Mus musculus: one gene and its partners. The main gene of each other region encodes a partner of the protein of the gene in region 4 in a complex. Links are inferred from orthologs where the notes say so. Each region holds a gene or a part of one and is shown on either strand. Other genes may lie near its edges. The genes, in order: Taf11, Taf12, Taf13 and Taf4.

What was found.
Region 1: Taf4 (region 4) and Taf11 share a complex: the UniProt entries of both Homo sapiens proteins name them as parts of the TFIID basal transcription factor complex. The link is inferred for Mus musculus from reciprocal best matches to the Homo sapiens genes TAF4 and TAF11.
Region 2: the proteins of Taf4 (region 4) and Taf12 are in contact, whole or in part, in a crystal structure (PDB 1H3O), measured with the Homo sapiens proteins. The link is inferred for Mus musculus from reciprocal best matches to the Homo sapiens genes TAF4 and TAF12. Residues at the interface, in NP_003176.2 of Homo sapiens: Phe872, Leu873, Leu874, Pro877, Leu878, Arg880, Arg881, Ile882, Ile885, Gly886, His889, Gly890, Ile891, Thr892, Glu893, Leu894, His895, Asp897, Val898, Tyr901, Val902, His904, Ala905, Thr906, Gln907, Gln908, Arg909, Leu910, Gln911, Leu913; in NP_001128690.1 of Homo sapiens: Val57, Leu58, Thr59, Lys62, Leu63, Leu66, Val67, Glu69, Val70, Glu74, Met83, Leu84, Ile87, Ala88, Asp89, Phe91, Ile92, Glu93, Val96, Thr97, Cys100, Ala103, Arg104, Ser108, Ser109, Thr110, Leu111, Glu112, Val113, Lys114.
Region 3: Taf4 (region 4) and Taf13 share a complex: the UniProt entries of both Homo sapiens proteins name them as parts of the TFIID basal transcription factor complex. The link is inferred for Mus musculus from reciprocal best matches to the Homo sapiens genes TAF4 and TAF13.

The regions. Positions count from the first base shown.
Region 1 is NC_000083.6:27,904,236-27,909,785, forward strand, and holds the start of Taf11 (transcription initiation factor TFIID subunit 11), read right to left. Parts: upstream 3,510-5,550; 5' UTR 3,437-3,509; coding exon 3,266-3,436; intron 1,176-3,265; coding exon 1,027-1,175; exon of another isoform or gene 946-1,026; intron 1-945. Other genes in the region: Anks1 (ankyrin repeat and SAM domain-containing protein 1A), read left to right, coding at 5,227-5,411. UniProt on the Homo sapiens protein: The TFIID basal transcription factor complex plays a major role in the initiation of RNA polymerase II (Pol II)-dependent transcription.
Region 2 is NC_000070.6:132,272,031-132,277,584, forward strand, and holds the start of Taf12 (transcription initiation factor TFIID subunit 12), read left to right. Parts: upstream 1-2,344; 5' UTR 2,345-2,457; exon of another isoform or gene 2,458-2,527; intron 2,528-4,592; exon of another isoform or gene 4,593-4,754; intron 4,755-5,554. UniProt on the Homo sapiens protein: The TFIID basal transcription factor complex plays a major role in the initiation of RNA polymerase II (Pol II)-dependent transcription.
Region 3 is NC_000069.6:108,569,325-108,574,923, forward strand, and holds the start of Taf13 (transcription initiation factor TFIID subunit 13), read left to right. Parts: upstream 1-2,374; 5' UTR 2,375-2,397; coding exon 2,398-2,424; intron 2,425-3,555; coding exon 3,556-3,634; intron 3,635-5,599. UniProt on the Homo sapiens protein: The TFIID basal transcription factor complex plays a major role in the initiation of RNA polymerase II (Pol II)-dependent transcription.
Region 4 is NC_000068.7:179,934,249-179,939,064, reverse strand, and holds part of Taf4 (transcription initiation factor TFIID subunit 4), read left to right. Parts: intron 1-534; coding exon 535-654; intron 655-3,053; coding exon 3,054-3,173; intron 3,174-3,913; coding exon 3,914-4,036; intron 4,037-4,816. UniProt on the Homo sapiens protein: The TFIID basal transcription factor complex plays a major role in the initiation of RNA polymerase II (Pol II)-dependent transcription.

The DNA of each region.
Region 1 (5,550 bases), on a different chromosome or scaffold from region 4:
ATTACCAATGAACTTGAAATGATCAATTAAACAAAATCACAGTTTTCTAAGTCTAGAAATATGTTGAGACATCTTTGAAAACATTTATACCAGTGTGTTTATACAGGTATTTTATCATAGAAAGAAATGGGTAAGATGTAGAGATGTTCCCAGAGATGGAACACGATGTTGTTAAAAGAAACAAAATTTAAAAAATCCTAGCCAAGCCGGGCGTGGTGGCGCACGCCTTTAATCCCAGCACTTGGGAGGCAGAGGCAGGCGGATTTCTGAGTTCGAGGCCAGCTTGGTCTACAAAGTGAGTTCCAGAAGAGCCAGGGCTATACAGAGAAACCCTGTCTTGAAAAACCAAAAAAAATAAAAAAAAAAAAAAAAAAAAAAAAATCCTAGCCAGAGTAAGTGCAGGGACTGATGGTGTGACTCACACATAGGTGAGATCAGTGCAGCGGGAGACACTGATGTCCATGAGGACATTGCACAAATATTCCCAGATAGACACTCTTGGGATAAGCGCTACTAGCTGGATTTTGAGGTTTGTTTTGTTTTGTTTGTATTCTGAGTTATTTGCAATGAGCCTATATTTACTGAAAAGGAAAAACAATGACCAAATGTAGTATAAAGCCCAAACATTTAGAAAAACCAACTATTTACTGTCCTTTACATGTATGCATGTATTTTGTGTCTGTCAGGACCATGCCTGTTTGGTGGTCAGAGGCCAGTTTCCAGGCCCTCATTCCTTCTTCTACCACGCGGTTTCCCAGGATTAAACCCTGGTCATTAGGTTCGGTGGCGAGCAGTGGTGAGCACCTTTCCTTGGCATCTTGCTGGCCTGAAACTATATCCAGGCATAGCAGCTCATGCCTATGATCTCAGTACTAAGTAGGCTGAGGCAGGAAGATCAGGAGTTGAAACCTTTGAGCTAAGGGCTTAAGTCTCATGAGCCCTTACCTCAAAAGCACACAAAAAAGCCAGTAAGCATGAATGTACAGAGTGGAGTTAGAGCCTGGACTGGGGACCTCTGTGACTCACTGCATCTTCTGAATCTCATCTTCGTCCACCTTCTGCTTCTTCTCCTTCTTGTCCTTAATGTCTAGTTTCAGCTTTTTGGCTGCAGGAGTAAGTAAGGACGAGTTTTCCCTCTCGGCTGCTGTTACATCTGAGACATCCTGACTCTTGAGCTGGAGAGATGGACAGAAACTCTTATTATGTACTCGGCACACTTCTCAGGTTTGGGAAAGGCCAGCAAACACCCTCCTCTTTCCAGCCCAGCAACTCTGTCTACGCAGTAGCTATCTAGTTCTAGGCACTGCCTATACCATCTGCATAAGAGGCAATCCATCTCTCCAAGGAAGATTATACTCCAGCTGGGAAAGAAAATAAATAATCCGCTGGGTGGTGGTGGCGCATGCCTTTAATCCCAGCACTTGGGAGGTAGAGGCAGGTGGATTTCTGAGTTCGAGGCCAGCCTGGTCTACAAAGTGAGTTTCAGGACAGCCAGGACTACACAGAGAAACCCTATCTTGAAAAACCAACCAACCAAACAAACAAACAAAAAACAAAAAAGAAAATGAATAATCCATTTCCCAGCCTAGCCATGATCATACAGAGGTCCTGCATCTGTTTACACATTACGAGGAAAATGCCAAGGATCCAAACAGCCACTCTCCCTCGGGCCCACCCTTCTGACCTCACTCCATAGATGTCAGTACAGTCCCTTCCATGTGTGTCTTGGGAGCTCCACACTGAACAGAGCTCTGTTCTTCTGATCCTTTCTCTACTGGATCACGAGATCTTTCCCAATACTAGAATACAAATTTTATTTATTTTATTTTTTTAAATAATTTGAGACAGAGTTTCTATACATAGCCCTGGCTATCCTTGAACTCTCTCTGTAGTAGTCCAGGCTGCCTTGTACTCAAGAGGTCCACCTGCCTCTGCCTCCAGAATGCTAGGCTTAAAGCTGTGCACCACCATGCCCAGTTCGGAAGCTTTTTTTTTTTTCCTTTTGTAATTTAAGACAAAGTCTCATTTTGGATTTTCAGCTTGTGGAAATTATAGACTTGTACCATTATATTGAGTTTAAACTAAAAACTGCAGAAAGCTCAGAGGTTAAGAGCATTGGCTGTTCTTGCAGAGTATCTAGGTTCCATTTACCAACACCCACATTTCAGCTCGCAGTCATTAGCAACTCTAGTTTCAGGGGATCTAATGCCTTCTTCTGACTTTTACAGGGAATGTGCCAGGCACATTACACGGCAAACAAAAATACACAGGCAAAACATTCATATAAAAAATATTCTTAAAAACCCACAATTTTTCAGTTACTACGGACATTCATGTGTGTGGGTTTGTAAGTGGACAACTTTGTGCAGATAGTCCGCTTCTACCTTAACGTGGGTTCTGGGGATCAAGCACCCTGACCTGCTGAACAATTTCGCCTGCCCTAAGCTAAAAACGTCTTCAAGATGTTTACTATTTACATTTCTCCTCACATAAACACTTAACCGTTTTATTCACAAGAGTGATCCAAACTCTGTCCTAGCCAACTTACTATAAAATCGTAATACATCAAAACTCATTAATGAGATTTAATGGTTCCTTTAAAATGAAAGGTATGTCGGGAAGTGGTGGCACATGCCTTTGATACTAACACTTGGAAGTCAGAGGCAAGGGGATCTCTGAATTCGAAGCCAGTGTGGTCTATAGAACCTGAGTTCCAGGTTAGCCAGGGCTACCCTGTCTCGAAGGAGGAGGAGGAAGAAGAGGAAGAAGGGGAAGAAGAGAAGGAGAAGGAGGAGGAGAAAGAAGAAGGAGGAGGAGGAGAAGAAAGAAAGAGAGGGAGAGAGAGAAAGAGAGAAAGGAAGGAAGGAATTCATATTTAAACTCATACAGAAATATGGAGAGGGGGAGAGAAGGCATTATCTATCTGACAGCCTTTCTAACTTACTTTCCACTATTGATCTACGCGTGTTTCTAACCTTTGTGCTTCAGATTTTCAAATTTATTTGTCCTTAACCATTTTCTCCTCGTCTTTTATCTTCTTGTCTCCTCCACCTTCCTCCTCAGCCTTCCCCCAAAAGGAGCTGGAGTACAAGCAGGCCTGAATAGGGCTCTAACAGCACCTACACCTTCCCGTTCCCTCTCCTGCCCCTCAAGGTTGCAGACTCACAAACAGTCGTGGGGGAATTCTAGTTCCCTGGCTTTGGAAGAAAGCAGTCAGGAGCGCACCCGGGTAGTCCTGCAGCGTTATCCACCAACTTCCACCTACCTCGCTTTCCTCCGCCGCGGCTTCTTTCAAGTCCGCGTCTCCATCCCTGTCGGTTTCCTCCGGGATTCCCTCAGTGTCGGCTGCCACCAAAGCCCCAGGAGTAGCCCTCGTCTCCTCTGACTCCCCTGGCTCCCCGCCTTTGTCTGTGGGCGACTCCCCGAGGTTGTCCATCGCGAGAGCAGGGGGTCAGAGGCGATGGCAGCACCGCCGGGAGAAGGAGCTGTGGAGCGGAGCTGGAGCTGAGGGCTCGTCGTCGCGCCGCGATGACGTCACGCCCACGGATCCTGGGAGGGGTCACTTCCAGAAGCGCGTTGGTTGCCCAGGGGATTCATATAAACGGAATTTGTTTTAATGTGAAAGAAATGTAGAAGTCTAGATCCTCCGCTTCAGGGCAGAAGCGTTTTTGAAAGAGCGTAATTCGTTTCCCGAGAGACTTCTTTTTCCTTCTTTTTCTTCTCCTTCCTGGGAATGTAATGCCAATTAACCCTTCTTTAACTTTACTCCTTCAGCCCAAAGTCGGGGAACAGGGAGAGAACTCGGTCCCGCTGCTTGTTGTTGCCGTGGACTGAGCAGCTTCCGGCAGCGACCTAACCTCGGATTTCCCAAAGAACTAAGACCACCGGCTTGTGTCCACCAGGGAAGTTTCCCTTCTGTTTCGCAAGCATCTCTAACGCCAACAGAAAGTATCCAATGGTTTCATTTAACACTTCAAATATTGGCCACCTGCCTCGCGTCAGAACAGGCTAGTGTTGTGAGGGAAAAACAGAAAAAAAAAAAAAAGTCATCCTTTCCCAATTACATTTCCCTCCTTAGTCCACCAATATTAAAAATTGGAAATGGTTCCCCAAATCTGACTTTTAAAATGTCTCTCATGACAACTAAGAGAAAGAAGGTCTCTTCTGACTTTTTCTGAAGAGTTAGTAGGATGGAGTGCGAGGATAGTGTCTGTTAAGAGTTCTTACATTTTTTTTTCATGTGTATGGGTGTTTTGCATGTAAGTCTGAGCTCCACATGCGTTCGTGGTACCCTGGGAGGCCAGCAAAAGGTGTTACATCCGCTGGAGCTGGAGTTACAGACTGCTGTGAGGCGCCACAAGTGATGGGAATCAAACCTAGATTCTCTGGCAGAGCAACCAGTGCTCTTAACAGGGAACCACCTCTCCAGCCACCCCCGTACTCCCTCCCCCCCCCCCACCTTTTTTTTTCTGGAGAGAGGGTCTCACTATGTAGCCTTGGCTAGCCCGTAACTTGCTTTGTAGATCAGGCTGACCTTAAACTCACAGCGATGCAGCCAGCGGCTTCTGCTTCTCGACTGCTGGGACAAATGGCAGTTGCCACAATGCCAGTCTAACTGCAGAAGTAAAACTCTCAGGTCTTCCCTCCAGGAGGCACCAGAGGGAGGGATTTTTCAAGTCTGGTTCTAGATCTCCGCGCCTATCCCGTATTGAATCTATGCGTTTTGAATGGAGTTGAAAACAGAGGTACGCGTTACCCCCTTTTCTTTTGTTTCTACGGTGCCAGGAACAATGACCGCATTTCCAGTGCCATGAGGTCCCAAACCTTTGGGAAGGCGAGCAGTTCGGGAAGCTCCTGCAGGCGTGCCGCCTCCGATCTCCGCCACCTGGCGAATGGGCGGGTCCGCTAGGCGTAGACCGCGCCTGCGCCAGGCTCGGCTCCGCACACCGAGGCTCCCCTCCGCCAAGCGGGCTCACCTGCACGGCGGCGCCGAGCCCCGCCCACTAGGTGGGCAAGGGGGCGGGGCGCGGGGGCGCGGTGACGCGTGACGCCGGATCCCGGAAGTGACGCGCCGCCAGGGAGTGGGGGAGGCCGAGGAGGCGGGGGGAGAGGGGGTGGCGTCCCCGGCCGGTTTGAGGGGTGCGTTGCCCGGAGACGGAAAGTTTCGGAGCCGGAGCAGGCTCTGCAAGGCTCCGGGTTGAGGTCCGAGGGGTGGCGGTCCTGGGGATGGGGAAGGAGCAGGAGCTGCTGGAGGCGGCCCGCACCGGGCACCTCCCGGCCGTGGAGAAGCTGCTGTCCGGGAAGCGGCTCTCCTCCGGCTTCGGCGGCGGCGGCGGCGGCTCAGGCAGCGGCGGCGGCTCCGGGGGCGGCGGCCTCGGTTCTTCTAGCCACCCGCTCTCCAGTCTGCTGAGGTGAGTGCGCGCGCCGGGGCTCGCAGCCTGGACTGCGAGGGCTCCCCCGAGAGGTCACGGTTCCTGGGGCGCGCGCGGCGCAGGCCGGGCTCTCGTGTCTGGCGTCGCCGCTGCGGAGAATGGGGGGAGTGCCCAGGTG
Region 2 (5,554 bases), on a different chromosome or scaffold from region 4:
AGTGTGCATGTTAGCTCTCACTACGCTGCCTGTCTCCAGGGTCCTCTACTCTGAAAGTTGCAGAGATCCCCGTGTTCAGCTCCCAGAGCTTACTGACATCAGCCTGGCCCAGCTTTTCCTCAGGATATTGGGGACGGCATGCAGATCCTTACATTTGCACACCACGTTCCTAACGTTCCTACCCACTCGTGAGCCCTTCCCCCGCCCCTAATGTTCTTACATTAAAAAGAGTGTGTAGAAGAAGCAGATGAATACTTTTGAAACAAACAAACAAAAAAATAGACTGTTGGGCATTACACTTTAATAACGTATGGAGTTCCCTGCCCTTTATAAAGTAGGAGCTACAAAAGAAAGGAGATTCATAAATGGGAAGAGGTGTAGTTGAAACTGGTGAAGCCGGGCGTGGTGGTGCACGCCTTTAATCCCAGCACTTGGGAGGCAGAAACAGGCAGATTTCTGAGTCCGAGGCCAGCCTGGTCTACAGAGTGAGTTCCAGGACAGCCAGGGCTATTCAGAGAAACCCTGTCTGGAAACCCCAAAAAAAAAAAAAAAAAAAAAAAAAAGAAAGAAAGAAAAGAAAAGAAACTGGTGAGGAGCCCAGTGGTGCTACCCTCTGTCCATCAAGGGGCCCTTCTATAATCCAAGTGTTCATTTATCGCCACACACTTTATTTGACACATGCACCTACTGTGGAGCAGTGGCTAGCTTGAAAACCAGGCTGGCCTCAAACTCAGAAACTGACTTGCCTCTGCCTCCCGAGAGTAGGGGCCAATGGTTTGAGCCAAGATACCCATCCACCCTACCCATCCACCCAATGCTTCCTTAAATACAAATTACCATCTCAATCCTCAGTTTTCATGCCTTTCCACTGAACACTGAATAAAATCCACCCCCCATTTCCACCTGTCCCTTCCTGTCCCCTAACCAAACTTCAGCCTTACTGCTCATCTAGTCTTTTTTTTTGTTTGCTTGTTTTTTTGAGACAGGGTTTCTCTGTGTAGCCCTGGCTGTCCTGGAACTCACTCTGTAGACCAGGCTGGCCTCAAACTCAGAAATCTTGCCCATGCCTCCCAAGTGCTGGGATTAAAGGCATGAGCTAGCACTGCCTAGCGCCTGTAAACTCTTAAGGACAATGATGACTGACTTCCCCAACAGGATATACCCAGCACACAGCAAAAAACAAAAACAAAAACAAAAAAACAGTTTAGTACATCCAAGGATGCAAGCACAAAAACTGATTGGCCAAACTCTGAGAACCATGATAGAAAAATAAAGCTGGGGCTTGAGAGGTGGCTTTCTCTCGAACCTGGCAGTCTTGCAGAGGGCCTGGGTCAATGCCAGCAGTCACATGGTGGCTCACAACTATCTGTAACTTCAATTGCAAGGCTTCAGATACCCTCTTCTGACCTCTTTGTGCACCAGGAATGCACATGGTGTACATATATAAATGCAGACAAAACACTTTTCCGCATAAAATAAATCCAAAAAGAAAAATAAGGTTATAAACAGTTTGCCACTTAATGGTTAAGCCCTTGCATCCAGGATTTTGGACCAAGAGGGTGGATGAGCCTAATGGGATGAAGATACAAAGATAGAATGGATTCTTTATGGGCAGGAACCGTTGATAGCTCTGAGATGTCAGACTTCTATACACTCGTTTGCGAGATCTCTATTTTACTAAGAATCCTTGCCGGGGACTGAAACTGCCTGTTGCTTACATGCCTAGCAAAAAAAAAAAAAAAAAAAGTACTCAAATCTCAGGGCTTAGTGGTTTAACAGTTACTGTACCAGCCCGGGCTTTGGAGTAAGAATTTTCAATTCAAGTTGAGAACCTACATCCCTTAGGAATTTCACGTTTCTTCCACTATTACATGACATACTCCAAGTGAGGGACTGAACCAGTCCCTCACAGACAGCTCTCGTCCAAGTGTATGTTGACTACAGATTAACTAATAGGCACAATCAGCTTCTCTAGTCTCCAAGTTCTCGTGCTGGTTGAGAGTCCCATAGTTGGTATCTATGCAGAACTGCGGTCCCATCCTTATAGCACCACAAAGGCACCAACCAAAAATGGCGACTTGGAAGCTCTCCGAGGCCGTCGGTTACCGGTCACGCTCGTGAAAGAGATGAGTCGTAAAGAAACATCTAGGACAGGGATTCACGCCGTGGTAGGGGACGCAGAGTAGACCCACGCCACCAGCAAGCCACACAGAGCAGAAAGCCCGACCTGCCAAGCCAGGCGCTGGGCTCACAGTCCTACCACGTGTTGTAGTACCATCTGCGCCTGCGCTAGTGAGGCGCGCGCCCGGCGGCCGGAAGAGCCGCGCGTTTCCGGGTTGGAGGCGGGGAGCGGTGCCGGAAGTGCTTGGGGAGGGCCGCGCAGTCGGACCGGCTGCTGAGACGAAAGCTTCACTGGGGCAGTCTCCGCATATCATGGGGAGATAGACGCTGCTGCCTGTGAGTCTTGGGCCCTGGCAGTTGAGGACGAAGAGCGGGAGGAGGGTGTCAGGACCCAGACCCACAGCGGGTCAGTGCTGGAAGAACTAGGCTGTGGAAGAGACGGGGCTGAGGAGCCCAGGCTCTTGGGACGGGACTTGAGGGGTTCGGGCTCGCAGAAGCAGCGGCTGTTGGGGACTCGAGCTCTGAATGAGAGACTTAGGAAACGGGGACGGATGTGGATTCTGCAGCATCTGAGGGAAAGCCTTCTGAGAGGGACAGGATGGTGAGGATCCCGCACTTTATAGGAGGCGAGGGTAGGAACGAAACGGGGCGTGAAGACACAGGCTCCAGAGAGGTAAAAGTGGAGCCCGAGAGGACTCGGGCTCCTAAGAGACAGAAGCGGGACAGTAAAGTCCCAGCTCCTAAGGATTCAGAAACCGGGCAGCAAAGACTTGAGGACTGGAGCTAGAGAAGGAGGCAGAGAAGACTTGAATTTGAAAGGGAATCGAAGCGGGCAGTGAGGACTGGGTCTTCTTTGGGGACAAGATCCGGGCTTTCAGACTCAAGAGTTTCTGGAGGGACAGAGATGTAAGGACCCGAGCTCCTAAAAGTGAAGGAACTAGGGGGTCCTTAACGGCTGGGAGATCAGCCTTCAAGGGAGAAAAGTTGAAAAGGTTTAGCGATCTGTTCTCTGTACCCGGAGGATTAGGATATATATATTCGGGGGAAGACTTCTTGGCGCTGCCTATTTGGCTTTTGGCATTTAGGCTTTTTCTTGTGTCCGTTACTTAACCTAGAAAAGCCACATGAAACGTCTTCGTTTTTCTTCATTATTGTGAATCAGATGTGAAGCTGAAAGCAGTTTGAACTCAGTTATATACTTGATAAGTACCTTAAGCCCTGTTCCATTCAGCCCCCGTTGAGCACAGATCTCTATATCACTAGCAAACTGTCATAGATGGAAGGGCAGCAAAAGAACACTTTGAATTCTTTTACATTTAAGAAAAAGAGGATGCAAAGAGGGATTAGGATCACTGTGAGCCAGATTCTTAGGTTATACAGTACTCTACCATGTACATCGAAGAAGAGATGCTTGCTTGAAATTATTTGAATAAATGCTTTTAGAATCTCTACCCTCAAACTCAGAAGGGATTTTTTTCTAACGGATTTTAATATTTTAGTACCTATTATGTATGGCATTGGCATAAATGTTACAAGGGAGGAAACAAACTTTTAAGTGAAAAGTCTTTTATTTATTTTATTTATTTATAAATTTTATTTTTCAATAAGATGTTGAGAAATTCACAAGTAAATGTGGCCTAGAACATTTTCTAGGGATTGCTTTTAGAAGAGTGACTTGGACCCTGTCATTTCCCTTCATAAAGACCCAGGACTGAAACCTACTCAGATGAATCGTGCACAACTTAAGCACTTTGGGCTTTTTGTTCTGTTTTCTTTTGGTTTGTTTGTTTGTTTGTTTGTTTGTTTTCAAGACAGGGTTTTCTGTGTAGCCCTGGCTGTCCTGGAACTCACTGTGTAGACCAGGCTGGCTTCAAAGTCAAGTCCACCTGCCTCTGCCTCGGAGCGTTCGGTTTAAAGGTGTGCACCTCCACCATGAACAACTTAAACACTTTTAAGTATTCCACCCCTTCCTTATCACAGCCCCACAGTTAAGTATGGTTAGTCCTGTTGTCTGTCCAGAGAGGTTAAGGGGTTTGTCATAAAGTACTGAGTAGCTTATCTGCAAATGTGCCTCCAAAGCTTTCTTGAGCTTTTCTAAGTGGATTTCCTGCCATGTGTAGTATGCATGTGAATGAAATATAAGTAATATTTATAAATCCTTCCACTGAATGAAAGCACACCCCTCCTCCCCAAACTACTTAGCTCCCCCTAGCCTGGAAATTGCTGTGTAGACCAGGCTGGCCTCAAACTCAGAGATGCACCTGCCTCTGACTTCAGAGCGCTGGTGATTCAAGGCTACATCACCAAAACCAGCTTCTTAACTCCTTTTCAAGTCAAGGACTGTAACTTTTAAGATACTTCCATAGTATTTGACATCTGAATTCCTGTGTTTTCACAGAAGCATAAATATTCCAGGTAGAATCTTTCCCATAATAGAGTAGGTTATTTTTATTTATTTATTTTTTAATTAGGGCGACATCAGATTAACTTTGCAGTTAATTGCTAGCATATACTCGATGTTGTGAATGCTCGGGCTATAATTCCATTACATTGGAGGTGGAGGCTGGACGATCAGGAGTTCAATGTCAACATAAAACTTTATCTCAAGGAGAAACAGAAGAAGAGCAGATCAGGTGAGGTGGTTCTCCTGGTAAGGTGATTGCCACAAGGAGTGATGATTTGAGTTCAGTCCCTGAGTCCTGCATGGTGGAAGGAGAGAACCAACTCCCAAAATTATCCTCTGACCACATCAGCACAGACACACTGAATAAAGAAAAGGTTGTTTTTTTTTTTTTTTTTTAACATACTTGAAGCTATTATTTTCCCAGGAGCTTAGCTGCTCTATTATTTTTTTTAAGGTTTTACTAAAGGTGATGAGACCCGAACAGCCAGCACACAGAGAAAAACCATCCACAAAGCAAAGGGGGGATTTTTGAAGCCAAAGCCTCTGGTACCATTTTTAAAGATTTGTTTGTTTGTTTATTCATTTCTTATCGGGAAGGGGCATTGAGTCAGGGTCTCTCCGTGTAGTCCTGACTGCCTTGGAACTCTGCAGACCAATTCTGCTGGCCTCAAATTCACAGAGACCCTCCTGCCTCTGCCTCCTTATTTTTTATGTGTATGAATGTTTTGCCTCACTATGTGTCTGTGTACATCGGTGCTTGATTTAGAGTCCTGAAAAGGGCATTGAGTCCCCCTAGAACTGGGTTGTAAGTCATTGTGTGGATGGTGGGGACAGAAGCTAGGCCCTCTGCAAGAGCAACAAGTTCTTTTAACCACTGACCCATCTCCTGTTCCTGATACTGTTTTCAGAAGCCTGCATAAAAGTGATCAGCATTTTTTTATACCAAGTTATGAGCAAAAGCATACCTTTATCACCATCTTGTTGATTTTAATTTGGGAGGTGGCCGTCTTTTTTAGTTAGGGTCTCACT
Region 3 (5,599 bases), on a different chromosome or scaffold from region 4:
AGGGAGCCAAGAACAAACCCAAGTAACAACTGCACCAACGGCTTACCTGGTAACCTGATGTAACTTTGTTGGGATTACTAACAGTAATGGGTGAGGGCTCACATATGAGGGATGGAGATGACTCAAAAGCAACTGCATCACCGCAAAGCCCACTGCAACACAGATGATATAACGCACAAAACCTGCGCCCCTGCCGCTCCGTATGCGCTGGCAGGGAGCTGGACTGGCTGTGACTCCCTGAGTTGTTTTTTTTGTTGTTTTTTTTTTTTTAAGATTTATTTATTACATGTAAGTACACTGTAGCTGTCTTCAGACACTCCAGAAGAGGGAGTCAGATCTCGTTGCAGATGGTTGTGAGCCACCATGTGGTTGCTGGGATTTGAACTCTGGACCTTTGGAAGAGCAGTCGGGTGCTCTTACCCACTGAGCCATCTCACCAGCCCTTCCCTGAGTTGTTAATGACTCTGTTTTAAGTTGCTGGGGTCAGGCTCTCAAAAATCACGTGTTTCTGTCCTCCAGATATGTGAGACATGAGCCTCTCTCTCCCTCCTGTGTGGGATATTTCAATCCAGAGAAAATTGGCAAATGACAGTATAGCTAATGATTGTCAGCCATTGCTACTCTGTTTTCTAAAGGTCCTCATTTTGGTTAATTTCTGTGGGTCCTTGCCCTCTGAGCCCTGTCCACCCTCAGCAATGGCTGGCTATGAGATGTTTTTTCTGTCATTTGACATCTTTCCTCCAACTCTAAACTAGACTCCGGAGTCCACGCTAAACTTGTAGAGGAAGCACAGGGCTGTTCACTCTGCTTTGTGCCTGTTCTGCTCATTTGTTTTTCCCAGTTTCCATTTTGGAGTTTGAGTTAAGAGGGTTGAATTATCCATGCTTCATAGTTTATACGCTGATAGCGTAAGTGTCTATAGTCCTTTCCTTTTTACTTATACATATTTATACATATTTATTTATGCCCTATTTCCACCTTTTCTGTGTTGCCATCTTTCTGATATATTTAATGTCTCTGCTTTTTGTTTATTTGTTTGTTTGGTTTGGTTTTTCGAGACAGGGTTTCTCTGTGTAGCCTTGGCTGTCCTAGAACTCACTCTGTAGACCAGGCTGGCCTTGAACTCAGAAATCCGCCTGCCTCTGCCTCCCAAGTGCTGGGACAAAAAGCATGGACCACCACTGCCGAGCTTTGGTTTTCTTGTTTTGACTATGTAGCCCTGGCTGGCCTCTAACTCAAAGAGATCTTCTGGCTTCTGCCTCCCAAGGCAGGGATTAAAGGCGAGTGCCACTACACTTAGCTCTTTCATAATTTTAAAATATTTTCTTATTATTGTGTATGGAAGCCAGAGGACAACCTTGCAGACTCTGTCTTCTCACCTTTCACTTTTTATACAGGTCCCAGGGATTGAACCTGAGCCTTAGGCTTATTCCGCTAGAGCTTTTATTGACTGAACCATTTCTCTAGCACATCTTTTGTAATTTAAAAAAAAAAAAAAGAAGAAGAAGCAAAAAACGGCCGGGCAGTGGTGGCGCACGCCTTTAGTCCCACCACTTGGGAGGCAGAGGCAAGCGGATTTCTGAGAACGAGGCCGGCCTGATCTACAGAGTGAGTTCCAGGATAGCCAGGGCTACACAGAGATACCCTGTCTTGAAAAAACCAAAAAAAAAAAAAAAAAAAAGCGCAAAACAACCTTCCAACCCAAACTACATATATATATTGCGTATTAACGGAGGCAGGAAAGATTGCTCCGTGGTTAAGAGTATTGGCTGCTTTTCAAGAGACTTGAGTTTGATTCCTAGCCCCTATATAGCGGTTCACAATCGTCTATCTCTAGTTCCAGGAAATCGGTTGCTCTATTTTGGCTTCTTTGGTGCTGCACACACATGGTACACATACTTGCCGGCAAAACACCTATTTACATAAAAGAAAGTAGATATATAATTATATAATAATATAGATACTATATATAATATCATGGGGCTTGTGTACTTGAGTGGATCAGCCCCAGAGGCAAAAAGTCATCCTATTTTTACAGGCATTTGTGAGCCTCCGTAAGTATGCACAAATTTATCACTTATGTTTTCTGAGACATGGGCTCATGAAACTTGAGCTGATCTCGAACTCGAAGCCCTCTTGCCTCTGCCTGCCAAGTGCAGAGATTTCCCGGCGTAGTATACCACGCCTGGCTTCTTTGTAATTTTTAATTCCTCCTTCAGGATTCCACACGTAAGAGCACGTCACTGACTTCCAGCCAATCCCAAGGCCGGGGTTGGGTAGGAGAATGAACGCGCACGCCTCTCTGCGCAACGCTGGCCAGGCCGGAAGTGACGTACGTATCTTATAAAACTCGCCAGCCGCCGGTGGGCGGGTTCAGAAGGCTGGCGAGCAGCTAGCATGGCAGATGAGGAGGAAGACCCCACCGTGAGTGAGCGCCTGTCTCAGCCTGGTTCCTCACTCCTTTCGGATCACTAGCGGAGGCAGAGTCTGACCCGCTTGTGCCTTAGGGATTCCCGCCGAGAGTCCGGGGGCTCCGCGGTGTTTTCCTTTTTTGGTTTACCTTAGTCAGTGCGTGGGACAAGACGGGAAGGAAGAGTAGAAAGGGTCTCTCTTTGACCTGGATCTTCCCGACACTAAGACATCTAGAGGGTCATAGGAGATCAAAGCTGATTAAAGCGGAACCAGCAGCCCAGATGCTGACAAAACTAGTGAAGATAGCGGAGAAACGATGAACTAAAGACAGGAAGCTTGGGATCCAAATTCTCCTTTGGCATCGGTTTTCTTGTGAGGTAGAGTCCAGCCCAGTTAAGGAAAGTTCTTAGCCCTTTATCAGTTGCTTCCGATGACAGCAGAGAGTAGATTTTAAACTACCAGGTTTTTACAGTAGTCTTGCTTAGCAGTGTGACAACTAAATTGGCTAAAACCAAACCCAGAACCTGAGGTCGTTAGAACTTTACACACGCACGGTTGTAAGGTTGTTAGCAGCCGTAATAAAAGCCTTCTTGCACGACTTGAGAATTGGACTAGGGCTTATGAGCCCTTTGGTGCTAAATTTTCGTGGTTTTGTGCAGTTTGCTTTAGCTTCTCACTTTCGAAAATGAAAAAGGGTCACTGGGCGTGGTGGCGCACACCTTTAATCCCAGCACTCAGGAGCAGAGGCAAGCGGATCTCCGTGAGTTCAGGCAGACACGGGCACATAGTGAGACCACTTTGTCTCAAAAAAAAAAAAAAAAAAAGTGTAGAGAGATAGCTTTAGTGCTTAGGAGCATTTGCTGTCACATCTGGCAACCTACAGCGATTAGACCTAGTTTGGCCTCTATGGGCAACAGCAGGCACATTTATGTAGGCACACAATACACATAAATAATAAATGCCTTTAAAAAAAAAGATGAAAAGAGTGCAGGAGGTGTAGCTCAGTGGTCAAGCATCTGTTTAGCATCGTGAGCTCGTGGGTTCAATTCACAGCACTCCACAAAGAGGGCGAGCAGGAGGAGACTCGAGGGAATATCACGTGCACTGCAATCATTTGCCATGTCCGTGTTTTAAAATTTCTAGTTTGAGGAGGAGAATGAAGAAATTGGAGGAGGAGCGGAAGGTGGCCAGGGGAAGAGAAAGAGACTTTTCTCGAAAGAATGTAAGTTGTACTTTCTAGTGTTTTTATTACAGGTGGTGAAAGCTTTTGAACATGTCTTTTCAGAGTATATTGTTCTGCATATGTTTGTTTATAGGGACAGTGTTCTCAGAGTTGCCTATAAGGTTGCCTGTTTTTATTCTTGGTGTTTGTTTGTTTGTTTGTTTGTTTTAAAGATAGGCTCTGTATAGCCAAGGCTATACTGGTGCTTACTGTTTAGCCCATGCTAGCCTTGGTTTGGTGGTAGTCCTGCTTTAGCCTCTCAAGTCCTGGGATTGCAGGTGTGCATCCCATGGTCAGTATAAGTCTCTCTCATGTCTACTAATTCTCTCTGTGTGACATAAAATAATGAATGTGATCACCTCTGCCCTCCTCCTTGAGGCAGGGTTTTTTTGTTTTGTTTGTTTTTGTTTTTCTTTTCCTTTTTTGAGGCTTGGTTTTTCTGTGTAGCCCTGGCTGTCCTAGAACTCTTTCTGGAGTTTAGAATAGATCAAGATCTGCTAGTCTTGAACTCACAGAGATGTGCCTGCCTGCCTCTGCCTCCTGGGTGCTGGGATTAAAGCTGTGAACCACCACCACCCAGCTGAGGCAGGGTTTTTAGATCCCAGCATGATTTCAAACTTGGTATGCATATGCGTATAACCTTGAACTTGCAAGAACCTTGCAAGAACCTTGAACTTCTGCTCTCCTATCTGTTTCCCTGGCTCTAGATGTACAGGCATATGCCATGGCTCCCAGTTGACATTTTGAACGTTGTATCCCTCTTGTGTCCACCTTTCAAATGATGTAAGTTGAGGCTTTGGACTAAGGCATAGCTCAGGGCAAGAAGGTGGTGAAGTGTGCTGTGGAGATGACAGTGCACTAGCCTTCCATGGTGCTCCTTAAACAGACAGGTAGCCCTTGGGGCAGCGCAGGGTGAGCGGTGTCCACTTGTTGTGCCCATACTAATTCCTGAAAGGCCCATGAGACTGCACTCTCCATCCCTTCTCCCAGGCTCCTTGGCTGAGCCTTGGGAAGTACAGCGGCAGAGATTTATAAATGCCTGAGTACAGTAGGATTGAAAAATTCTAGAAACTGCAAGATCAGCCTTTAACTCTCTAAATCTTTTTTGATCCCAGCTCTTGGGAGAGATAGGGATGGGAGAATTTGAGTTCAGGGTCTTCCTCATTGAGTTTGAAGGCAACTTCGGCTGTATCTTACAACCATAACAGAAATCCTCACTAGTACCTTCCAGTTTCGTTCAAGTCTGACCACTTCCCATTCTGTCTCACTGATGCTAGTTACGTGATTTGTGTGTGGTTTTACTCCTTATGTGGACATATGAAAACGACCCTTACACTAAAGTGCTCTAGGAATGGTATTCACCCTGCTGCTTGTCCAAACCTTTAGTTCAGTTTCAACTGCTCTACTTTTGTGATGACAAAAATTTGGAATCTTCGCAGGCTTCTCCCACTGACTTAATAGAATCTTCATGTCTCTTCTATTTTTGCTGGGGTTTTTTTTGTTTGTTTGTTTTGTTTTTGTTTTTTGTTTTGGACAGGGTCTTGCTGTGTGGTCCAGGTTGACCTTAAACTATTGTTTCTCTTGACTCCATGATTCCCTCCTTCTACCATGTGATGGTACTCAGAAGGTACCAGATATGGAACTCAGGTCTTCAGGCTTGGCAGCAGGTGACCTTATGTGCTGAGCTATCTCCCTGGGCTACATTATTATTATTATTATTATTATTATTATTATTATTATTATTACATCATTTTCCCCCCTTCCCTTTCATCCCTCCAAACCCTCCCATATACTCCTCCTTGCTTTTTCAAATTCATAGGCTCTTTATTAATTGTTGTTGTATATATACACATATGTACATACATTCTCTCTCTCTCTCTTTCTCTCTCTCTCTCTCTCTCTCTCTCTCTCTCTCTCCAAGTATGTCAGGACAACTTGCTCTGTCTGTTTTCAAGGGCTTACCAC
Region 4 (4,816 bases):
GGAAACGACAGAGAGCACCTCTGCAGTGTTGTTTCCTGAGGAGGAAGCATGTGGACTGCTGTGGGAGGTTCTCTGTGGCGGTGGTACCTCTCATCTGACCTTGTGCCTGAACTCACGCTGCTCTGGTCACCTCAGGGCTCCGGGCATCTCCATCCTGCTTGACTCTGTCTCCCTTTCACACTCTTTCACACTCTGTGTCTAGGACTCAGGGCATCTCCACTCTCAGTTCAGGCCAGTGTCCCATAAGAGCATTGCCACAGCTGGCTTTCCAGATGTCTGCTTTAAAAGACGGCGTTTCGTAGACTTCACTAAAAGAGACTGTTTTTAGGATTTTCCATGAAAAGTTTCTCATCATAATTTTTTATTTTGGGCTTTGACTGATTTCCTTGTAGGTTAGTAGTAAGCAGTGGATTACTTGAGTGCAGTGGTGTATTTTTAAGAGTCTGTGTATACGCATGTGCACACATACATGTGCACAGGTGTAGGTACTACTTACGGTAGCTCATTTTAGATGATTTTTAACTTATTTTCCAGGCTCCAGGAACACCTATTATTGCACGGCAGGTGACCCCAACTACCATAATTAAGCAAGTGTCTCAGGCCCAGACGACGGTACAGCCCACTACAACCCTACAGCGATCTCCCGGGGTACAGGTAAGAGGATGCAGCCTAGTGCATCAGTAGGGATGCATGGCTGACAATGCATGCTTTTGCTTCGATGTAAACACTAGGCTTTAGGGTACCAGGTTGAATTTGAGGATGCAGGGGGTCAATGAAGAAAGTGATTTTTCTGTGTCTGAATGCAGGCTACATCTTTTCCTTATTTAGCATTGGCAGCATTCAAAAGCTCTTTATAAAATGTAATTAGGAACGTCACCTCATTAATATTTGACTCAGAGCATCTTTGAGGAGGGAGTCTGTGCTGAGGAGAGTTTGTGTCTGTGCTGTGGCCCCATTACATGCTCATGGACGGTGCTACTAGTGTGTGTGCAAGGTGTCCTCTCAACTTCCTGTGGCAAATTTGTAGATGAGCTAGGGAGGGGAGAGTGGGGGAGGGGCATTCTCCCTAGCCTTGCTTTCCTAGTGTCAGTGCTCCAGGGAGCAGCAGGGGAGTTACCTGCAGACCCTGGCCTTACCTGATCAACCTGTGCAGCTTCTAGCGTATAAAGCCAAGGGGAGCTTCCGTGCCAGGGGCTCCTCCTTGCAGAGGCTGAAGCAGATGTTAGGCGTGGTGGAAAGGACTGGTTAGGGAGGGCATAACATGTTTGCAGAGATGTACTTGGTGAAGACACATCTGATCAGGGAAACACTTGTAGGGAAGATGTCATTGGCTGGGGAGGCAAACATTGGTTAGGGAAGCTCACTCTCTGGGCACTCATTTGGGAGTAGGTGGGAAGCAAAGAGCCTCAAAGGCTCCTGATGTTGAGTTTGGAGCAGTCATACAGTACAGGGCTTTGAGCTCTAACCACGTTGGATTCGTGCTCACTCATACATGATCTTAGCTGAAGTGTTCCTGATTAGCTGCACCTCGTCCCAGTGGAGCCTGAACTGAGTGAGGGCGGTCCACACGGGGGCTTCTCTGAACTTTTCTGAACTCAGCTCCAACTTTTCTGAGTTCAGCTCCATTTTCTTCAGTAGCTGTGGAGAGCAAGAATATCTTGGAGAACGGTTCTGTGAGTCAGGAGAGAGGCCTGTGTGTTTCAGAAGCTGGAGTCTGGGAGACCTGCGGTTTCCTGAGGGGAACTTGTAGTGCTGCCTGTGCCTGACTCCAGCGTCTGCTTCTCTGAGGAGGAGGAAGAGGCTCTAGAAGCTACTGAAGTGCTTGGTAAATTGTGTGTCACGTTTTAATGGTGACAAATGCTTTGAGGTTAGTGGACAGTTTACAGTCAGGGTGAGTGTGTCCCTTGCCATAGCTGTCAGCTGGAGTGAAGGAAAGATGGCAAGAAGGGTCTGAGTCCTGCTGTCCCTGGCTTGTTGAGTCAACTCTTAGTTTGTTTTTGCATATTATCTTCACATGTTTTGGTTTGGTGGGCAATACGTGCTTATCATACAGAGACAATTATCACCCCTGAATCTGTTGCCAGCTGCAGGGTAACTTGGGGGCCAAGAGGCCTGGAGGTAGCTTAGTACTTGTACAGCTCTCTCATAAGCACCTGTGGCTGGGATCCTCCAAGGCTTTCTCTAAGGGGGCTGAAGATTTGCCTAAAGCTGCTCTAGAGCTCTCCTTGGTGTGGGTGTGAGATGTCACACTGCTCCCTGCTTTCAGATGAAGGGAGGGGACAGTGTTTAATAAACTGGAGTGAGGAAATGTGGGCAGCTAAATTTGTAAATTGGAGAGGTAATAATGTAAAAACCGGTAAATATTTCATTGTGATTATTCAAGAATAGAGAAATCTTAGGAAAGAGACTAAGGGTCAGTGGTTTGGAGAGTCTGAGCCTGTTGACATCTAAGTGCCCATTTGCGTTGCAAATGTTTTATGTTCGGTCAAGGAGTACCTTCCCACAGCTGGGCCAGTGCCTGTGACCCAGCTCTTATACCTGTGCCTCTGCATGCTGTGGCTTCTCGTCAGGCCTTACTTTTGGAAAGCAGAGCTCGTTAGTGCAGGTACTTGTGGGGAGTGGAGGCCTTTCCCTTGTCTTGGTGGCCTGTACGGACTCTGGCAGATGCTATGTGCTGGGAGGTCACAATTGCTTTCTAGCCAGGGCTCTATGAACAGATTAAAGGGTTCTCAGGAGGAGTGTCTGAGATGACAGCTCATTGTGTATCCAGTCCTCTGTGCTTGTCTCTGTGGTAGCCGTTAGTCAGTGTGACAGATTCTGGACAGTGACAGGTTCAAGCCCCTCAGGTTTATTGTAGATACAAGCATACCTCCATGTGTCTCTGTGGGCCTCAGGTGCGGGGCCAGGGATGCCCTTGGCCACCTCACATGGCTGCAGGAAGGGTGCCTACCTGGCCCTTGTTGAGCCATTTGCTCCCTACGTTTTCAGAAGCTGTTTTACTTTTGGGCTTGTGCTGCTGTTGCGATGCATTCACCTGTGTTTTGACCTTCTAGCCTCAGCTGGTTCTGGGTGGCTCCGCACAGCCAGCCTCACTTGGAACAGCCACAGCTGTTCAGACAGGGACACCTCAACGAACAGTCCCTGGGGCCAGCACCACCTCTACAGCTGCCACGGTAAGAACTCCCTTTGAGACGCCTATGGGCAAAGCCATTGGTATTAGTGGGGAAATGGAGCTGGTATATACAGGGGCTTGAGAATATTTTGGGGCCCACAAGCCAACCAAGAGCAGTGGTGCATTGAAGGGACCCACGTGAGAGCTTGGGTCTGTCTTCCCCTTATGGGGTGACCTGCACATGCTGGCCTCTGAGGAATGGTAGGAAAGGGCCCTGAGCGTCCTACTTGGGATCTAGGACCCTACAGAGACCTGTGGAAGCCACATATATGTAGCTGCTGAGCACCTGTGGTCTGGGTGTCTGTCTGTCTATCTGTCTGTCTGTGTTTGTCTTCACTACTTTTCCTTTATGTACCTGGAGTTTTAGAGAAGCTGGGACCCTATTTTGCAACTTCTCTTTTTGTATTCTTTGCCAAGTACTTTTAACCATTTCCAGGAGCTGCCTGGGACTTTGTGTGCTTGTGCACATTTAGGCAAGCAGCAGCCCCTGTCCCGACGTAAGGGCAGTGTCTTGGTGGATGCAGCCTTCCCTTAAAAGGGCTGGTTGAGAGACGCAGACTTGGTGGCCTTCAGAGTGGCTGATTGCCCTTCAGAGAAGATTATGGCTCATGCAAGAAGTAGTGTGGTTTTGAAGGAAGTTGAGATGCTGAGTTTACATTTTTCAGACCTGTACACATTTCACTGCAGTGGGGTCCTGTGGGGAAATCTCCTGTAACTTACACCTGTTTTATTTTAATACAGGAAACTATGGAAAATGTGAAAAAATGCAAAAGTTTTCTATCTACATTAATAAAACTGGCTTCCTCTGGTAAACAGTCTACAGAGACAGCGGCTAATGTGAAAGACTTAGTACAAAACTTACTGGTAAGTTCACATGAAACCCTCTGCCTCACCATGCTGTGTGACCTGCAGCCCATGTGCAGCCTGTAGGGCGACCTGCGTGTGCAGGTGAGAGCCTGTGGAAGGATCTAGTGCTGGGGTGCTGGGGTGGGGGATGCACTGTTGCCAAGATGTGTGCATTGCTTGGCATGACTTTTCTGGGGACTTGGCTGATACCCCAGTGTTCCTTCTGCACTTAGATGGGTCAGGGGATGTGCCAGCACTAGGGAGGGAGGGAGGGAGGGAGGGTGGGTGGGTTGGTTAAAGGGCTCCTTTAGAAGTACCTGCCTGTGCTTGAGAGTCATAGAACATATGTCTGACAGCCAGTGTTGCTTCAGGTGGCAGCCCACTGTATCCTTCCTTCCCCTTTTAAAACTGAAGGAAACAGGAAGGGTCCTTAAACTCCAGTTTGTAGATAAGGGGTCTCTGCATCTGCCTCTGGCCCTGCTCCTCTTCTCACCCCTTGAACATGTGATGCTGGTCTCTGAAAGGTGCCTGTGTTACTGGTGTGCAGAACTGACTTCTGCCATTGGTTGGTGCTCCTGTGTCATGGATATTTTATTTTGGCAACTCCCTGGGGTCAGGGATTGAACTGGGTTCCTTATCTTGTGTTGCAGTTAATTCTGTCCCTCTAACCTAAAGCATCTACTTCCTTCCTTGCCAGTGTTGCAGTTAACTCTGTCCCTCTAACAGAGGTGTCTACTTCCTTCCTGTTTTCTCTCTTTTCTGTTTCTTTGATCAGGAAGCACACGGATTTTGAAAGTG